Linked DNA regions of Bombyx mori. The protein of the gene in region 2 purifies or fractionates together with the protein of the main gene of each other region. This does not show direct contact. Links are inferred from orthologs where the notes say so. Each region holds a gene or a part of one and is shown on either strand. Other genes may lie near its edges.

What was found. Proteins that work in one complex are often made in the same cells at the same time.
Region 1: the proteins of importin subunit beta-1 (region 2) and regulator of chromosome condensation purify together in Homo sapiens (affinity purification with mass spectrometry; 3 studies listed by BioGRID and IntAct, counting the BioPlex papers as one, with this or other methods). This does not show direct contact. The link is inferred for Bombyx mori from reciprocal best matches to the Homo sapiens genes KPNB1 and RCC1.

The regions. Positions count from the first base shown.
Region 1 is NC_085130.1:7,893,034-7,896,696, forward strand, and holds part of regulator of chromosome condensation, read right to left. Parts: intron 3,143-3,663; coding exon 2,963-3,142; intron 2,593-2,962; coding exon 2,461-2,592; intron 2,085-2,460; coding exon 1,988-2,084; intron 1,189-1,987; coding exon 1,051-1,188; intron 868-1,050; coding exon 696-867; intron 1-695. UniProt on the Homo sapiens protein: Guanine-nucleotide releasing factor that promotes the exchange of Ran-bound GDP by GTP, and thereby plays an important role in RAN-mediated functions in nuclear import and mitosis.
Region 2 is NC_085110.1:11,421,255-11,425,017, reverse strand, and holds the start of importin subunit beta-1, read right to left. Parts: upstream 2,742-3,763; 5' UTR 2,604-2,741; coding exon 2,546-2,603; intron 1,773-2,545; coding exon 1,531-1,772; intron 1,157-1,530; coding exon 976-1,156; intron 821-975; coding exon 561-820; intron 154-560; coding exon 1-153.

The DNA of each region.
Region 1 (3,663 bases), on a different chromosome or scaffold from region 2:
TTGGATGGACGAGCTCATGGTGTTAAGTGATTACTGGAGCCCATAGACAACGTAAATGCGCCACTCATCTTGAGATATAAGTTCTAAGGTCTCAGTATAGTTACAACGGCTACCCCACCCTTCAAACTGAAAGGCATTACTGCTTCACGGCAGAAATAGGCGGGGTGGTGGTACCTACCCGTGCGGAGTCACAAGACGTCCTACCACCAGTGGTACAAAAACAGTGATATACTAAGGTTGGTGATGGATTTAGGGCTTGATGCCGCCCCAGGCCATATTTATCGCGCCGCTCTTAATGTTGGAATAATTTTATTAATTTTGATCCTATATTTTTATTTTAAATTTAAAAATAACTAAAAATCAATCTGAACTAATTTTTAAAGGAGACTTGTCTTTACATTTTTTAATCTTTGAAATTTTGGCATTTCAAAAGCGCAAAAGTAGCCTACGTTTACCATGGTTACTATGGAGATAAGGGGTTTAAAATTTGATATCGAGTACATATATATAATGTTTTCAAAGTCACTTGTTATCTATGGCAGAAACTAGGGATATGCCGGTTTTGCATAAAAATTTGCACGAATATGAAAATTTTGGGTCAGGCTATTCTTGCATTGACTGACGGCCTTGCAATTTCGAACCTAAGCTTTGTTATAATTTTTTTTTTAAATGGTTAATATTGGAATTTCCCATACCTCCCATATTCACAACGTCCCAGCGCATATATCTGTCCGTTGGCAGCGAGCGTCAGTGTGTGATGTTGTCCGAGGGCCACAGCGCTCCACGCGTGATCGTCTCCGACGGCTCGTAGTGCGTCACACTCGGTCGGAGAAAACAACGCTGTTTTACGTTTCTCACCCGTTATGCCTGGAATATATTTTAAATATTTTATTATTTGTATACATAAATATTTGTAGATCGTATATAATATTAGGAAGGAGCATTGATGACTGGATTTAACTCACAGACGACGATTCACAACGATTTTAAAGAAGTTTCACTTCAAAAAAACTGTATCTAGTGTTGATGGCTAGTGAGAGGTGCACTGACCGAGCTGTCCGTAGTTGTTGAGTCCGAAGGCGAAGAGTCTGGCGTGCTGCGCGTCCAGCACGAAGGTGGCGTGGTGGCCCGCCCACACGCGCGCCGCCGCCTGCCGCAGCGTCACCCGCGCCGGCACCAGCAGCGCGCCTGCACACTCACACTATCACAACCGGACCCTACTACTCACACTATCACAACCGGACCCTACTACTCACACCCACTACACTCCACCACCGGACATTGGAGAGTACGGACAAAAGGACCTCACCACACTACTCCACTACCGGACATTGGGGGAAGAGCGGACAAATCTGAGTTGTCACAATGCATTTGTGAGATTTCAATTTGTTGAATTGGATAAGACTTTAATTTAGTGTTTATGAATATTAAATAGTTTAGTCATCAGTTTTGTAACCGATTAAAGATATTAAAAAGTTAATTACCTACCTAACAACTAACGGTGCTACCCCTATCGAAAAACTCTATTGTCCCCATATGTGATCCGATTCACCCCAAAAGCCAAGGTGGATCAGGTCAAGCAAATTTTTTAAGTTTTTGTGTATGTTTTACTATGTTATTAATGCATTGTAAATGAACATTTTAACCTCTGGTACCGTTTCAATCTCAATTTTATTGATATTACCCTAAGATAAACTACTGAAAATTTGGTTTGGGATTGGAAAGTGTCCCGATTCCCCCAAACTACAGTTACTGTACTGTTTGTAGCTATCCACAGATGAACATATGCCTCTCTAATCTCCAGTGCGGCCGGTCCATTGGCACTGACATCCAACGTGACCCAACGATTTTCATTAGGTCATAAAAAACGGAAACAATATGAAAACACAACATTTACAAATCAGTACCACAATACATTGTACTTTAATAAGTAGTAAACTGAATTTGAAGCACATTTCTTGGCTGAATAAAGAAAAGGTATACATACTGAAGCCCTGCCTGGCGTCTCGAGACGCTGATCTCTGCGCCAGCCTGCCCAGCTGCCCTTGTTCCCCGCAGCCCAGTGTGAATACACCGCCTGATGTCTGGAAGCAACATTTTTTTTATTGCATATGTGATGTTAAGTGGTTACCAGGGCCCATAGACATCTACAGCGTAAATGCGCCACCCTTCGAACGCCCCACCCTCGGCAGAAATGGGCGGGCTTTGTAGGGGATGTCAGTGGTGCTAGTGTGCAGTTGTGTGTGTAGTTTATATAATATTACAGTAACATAGAAAAAAGTGTATATGATGGACACATAATTCTGTTCCTGTCACTATCATGTCTGCCTTGGCAGAGGAACTCGGAAAATTAAAAGCACCATAATGAGATACTATACCATCATTGGAGTTGTTCTTCTTTTAACACTTGGACTTTAACTCACATAACCAACTCTGTATGAAGTAGGAAATGTTACGTACCGTCAATACAACTAGATGATCACCCCCTGATGCTATTTCTACGGCTGGCTCTCCGATGTCAATCTTAACAGGTTCTTTGCAGGGTTTTCCTTCGCGCCCTCGGACAACCAGTCCCATGCTACCATGAGAATCCTGTAAACAACAGTCATAATGATAAGTACTTAATTCTTAAAGTAAATTATAATTTTTTACAACAACCAAGTGGATGTCAATTATAGCATATTGAATTTGCCTGAATTAAAGATTCTTGTTAATTTTGCTTTGAGTTTGTTGAAAATATTGGTCTTGGTCACACAATAAAAAAGTAACTTAAATACACAATTTAAACCAAGAATAACTATTTTTTTATACTAAATGTAAAAACTAATACTTAACAACTAAATACTATTTACAAAAGAAATTATTTGGTAAAAATATTATCTTCTACTTTAAATTATGATTAAAAAACCCATAAAGTAGGTATGCAACCTGAGAGCAAGTCAGGTTTTAGAATAAAACTCACTCGGAAAGACCCCCAAGCATAAACATCTCCATTCTGCAATAAAGCAGCAGAGTGTGAGTCTCCAGCCGAGACAGCCACAGCTGCGACAGGCAAAGAAACCTGTTTGGGAGTCCCTTCATCCTTCTCATTGCTGGTGGCACGTCCAAGGGCACCTTCGTCATTACAACCAAAAGTCCAAATCTGAAAACATTCAATATTTTTAACTGGCTTCACAAAAAATTATAATAGGACCGCCTAGAATAAACCGAGAATATTAAATGTGATTGTTTGCAAAAATTATGCTTTTTATATATTTATAGCAACGTTTTTTTATGTTTCTTTTCTAAAAACTTTGTTGATTTATTAGTTAGTGGAAGGCCTTCGATCCAGGCCATCTATAATCAGCCTACACATTAGATTTTGCTAAAATCATGTTGGTACTTTTAATACGATTTTCTAACAAGAAAATATATCCGCTGAATGTAACAAATACCATCATTGTTTATAAGAAATGGAGATTATTTGATTGTGCAGTTTTTGTTTGTTTGAACCGATTTGAATGATTTTCAATTGTTTTTATTTTATTTAGGAAATTGAACTCGCTAATATTATGCTACTACCAATGTTATTCATTAATGAATACATTTTGAACAATAACCTTGAAATTGAATTCTATATTTACCTAAATAATCAAATTAAGTACTGAGTAAAAATTATTTAAA
Region 2 (3,763 bases):
ATCTATTTCCTCATCGCTCACATTGGACCAGAATTCAATACCTTGTAATGAAATCTCATCAATATCAGATTTCATAGCCTCAAGTGTTATGGGGAATAGAGCTTGTCCCATGTAAGGTTCCATATGTTGATAATAAAGTGATAAAATTTTCACCTGAAGATAATTTTGTTTGATTAAAAACTATTTTTTAAATTAATTAATACAGTAATTGTTTAAATTTAATCATGTCAATAGCTGGTATCCCAAAAAATAAGTCTTAGCTTTGTTATTCATGTTAATATTATAAATTTATAACTGAGTAAATGTAATATTAATATAAATTGTAATTCATACACTTTCATATCTAACTAATCAATCATTAATTATGAAATTTTACATAAATGCTGTCAAGAGTACAGAAAAGGACATAAAAGGATACTATCCACAAAAAAGTAATATTCCTGAGGTATATAATTTTTTCTACTTTCATGGGAAGAAAGCTAATGTGGTAGCTAAGGTGGTATTTTATTTTAATTTTAAATATAATACTTGGATTCACATTATATATTTATAAAACTTACTAAGCATTGCAAAGCAGCAACGCTGATTCTCATGTCACTAGACTGTGTGGCTTCACAGACAACCTCCATAATAAAGTTTCTTTCATTTTCTTTTTCAAAGTTCGCTCTGGTGAATTCTAGAGAGTTGAGCAAAGCTTGAGTAGCAGCTAGTCGAACATGATTACTGGGTTCAGTTGACCTCATGCCATGTATGATGGCCGTAAGAATTTGATTACTTCTTTCTGTTAATACTTCAGCATCAATATCCTGACAAATGTAGCCTAGAAGAATAAGAAATACATCAGTATTGTTAAAGAGATTAATAGCAATTTGCCTTTAGTTATAAAGCACAATTAAAACTGTAATTTTTTTTTTGTTTATTTATATAACATAATTTGTCATAGCTCTTTTAACTATCAAATGTTCATTCAGTTACCAATAGCCTCCAAAGTCGCTTCCTTTTTGAGTTCAGTAGATTGGACATGAACAACATTTTCTACAAGAATTGGTATTAGATCATTCCATTGTCCTACTGGGAGCTCAGCTACTGCCACATACGCCACACACTGTGCTGCTGAACTTGGACGACTATTCTCTGTTCCTATAGCAGCTAATATCTAAAAAAGAAACTAGTATTAAAATTAAATATAACTTGGTTACCTACACCTGATGGAACTTATCAGATTCTCCACCTTCATTAGTTCAAGCTCTATACTATAACTATACCTGAGACCTTAGAACTTGTATCTCAAGATGGGTGGCGTAATTACGTTTTAGATGTCTTGTGTGTTTGTATTTATTAGTGTTGTGTTAAATTATATTTATTACTAATTTTAATTTTAATCTAAGTAAGACATACAGGGAATTGCTATTTAGACAATAATTGAGCAATTTAGCTTAGAGATAATATTATATATATTTTTATTATTAAGTAACTTATTAGTGAATTTTTCAATGTTTCACTTGTTTCTTGTTTGCAATATTGCCTTACATTTTCTTTTATATAAAGTCGAACATCTTCTGCCAAAGCCAGCCATCTTTGTTGATATTGTTGTTTAAGTGTAGGATCTTTAGAAGTGAGATGATTTTTCAATTGCAAACCAGCTGCCATCCTAGCCACTTGACTGTTACCACCTTGGAGAAGGACATCGGACAACATTTTGATGAATGTTGTGAAATTTGTGGTGGCAGCATGGTCGAGGTATCTAACTGCTGCTTCCAATTCATTTCGATCTGTAAGCAATAACCATAATCTAAGTACATAATTTACAAAGTGAAGTACCCCAAATTTAACTATGTCTGTATACTGATATGTCACATGAAAACAAAAGGTGTTAGAGAATCAAATTTGTGAGGTCTTTTTTGTATTTTATTACCACTGAAACCAGGCGAGAATATGGGCCACCTAATGGTGAGTAGTCACGATCACTAATCCAAGTCATCCATGCCAAGGGAACATCAAAACCAATTGATTATTTAGTACCACTACTTCTTTTATTATAATTTCTTAATAAATATTTTTATACTTTGAAATAATGTTGTTTAAATATATTTTATACGGCCCCTGTTGCACATTGTTTCTTTCTTATTAGGGTATGTATGTACAAAATCGTTACCTATTCATTTAATACTACAGAATATCCACTATTTTCTAACCTTAAACTTATTTTTTTGTTTTTTATATGTACAATGAATTAAAATAGCTATTGAATTCAAAAGTTATAGCACACTTTTTCATTGAATGTTAATAACACAGACATCGTGAGGTTCGAAAGCTGAACTAGAAGTTTCCTGGATGACAGGTAAGCATTGCGGTTGGTGATACTAGATAAAATTACAGTCTCGTTTTAATTCAAATGCTTTTTGCTGAGAAATGCCATTTTTTTATCCATTCTACAGTTTTTCCGGATAAATTTCAGAATCATGGCATAGTTTATAGGTAGCAAAAGTACGTTATTTTCTATAACGCCATCCATGTTCATGTTGATGTTAGTCATATTACTTACCAGGTGAAACTGTCTTCTCAAGTATTTGTATAAGCGTTAATGTTGTTTCTGCGTGCATTGTTTCACTATTCTTAAGTTTATGTTGCAAAAGACTGACTCAATCCTGTTTTTTGAAAAATAGAAACCGGCGGACGACGGAAGAACACTCATGAAATATTGGCTATTGAGTATTGTTGCCAGCAGAGGGTATTTTTAATCTATACTCTATTTCAATTGTGATAGTGTAGGACACTGGCCCACGAAATCTGGTAAAGATGTCGCTAGCAGCTGATTTTTCAAGAAAAAAGTGTTTGGTATTTAATCAAGTGTAATTTCTCTCGATTTCCCCCAAAAGGCACATATAAACCACAATAAGTTTTTCAATTTCAAGTATTTGGTTATATATCATGACAATGATAAGCTTTCCAAGAAGTCCTAATGGATTTACCATAATTAATCTCAAATAGCAAATAGTTATTTATGCGAGCATTCAACTTTTGTCCAGTTCCTCATGTCACACATCTGCAGTAATGCTGTTGCCATTTGATCAGAAGGTGTGATACCGGCACTAGACCATCAAATATTGACCATGACTTTTATGGATGTGTTTTTGTTTAGGGCATTGCTTAATTGCTTAACCAGGGTATAATCAACATGATGACCGCTTACAATTATTAAAAATAATAATTTTTTCTTGGCAAGTAATAATGCGGTTTAAAATCCCTTACTTTCTGAGTCTGTCGAGCAACTGTATACGCAACTTATATTTTAATGCGTTCGTCGCGTTGGCGATCGTTCAATTGGTACAGCAACTACATAACAAGTTTTGTTACTTTCCCAATTTGACGCAAATAAACCTATATTGTATTGATGCTAGCATTAAAAGCTGTTGCTAATTCAACGATAGCTTGAGTGTCGTTATTTTCCACGATCGCTTCTGATTCGTCGTTGATGATTGTATAGATTTAGGCGTTCGTATTTTATATCAAATTTCCGGAAAGGCTTACTCAAAGTGTTCACTCCATACATATATAATTAATGTTGTGGGTTGTTTGTGCGGCATTGTTGCCGCGATGGAACTCTTATTCCATTATTACATATATTTTTACTATACCTATATTAACATGAATGTGATGAAAACAAAGCACTAATCAAATGACCGAATTTGAAAATAGAATTCCATATTTTATAAATAAGATTAGGTAATTTGAATTTATGATTTATTGCTAGAATTTAAAT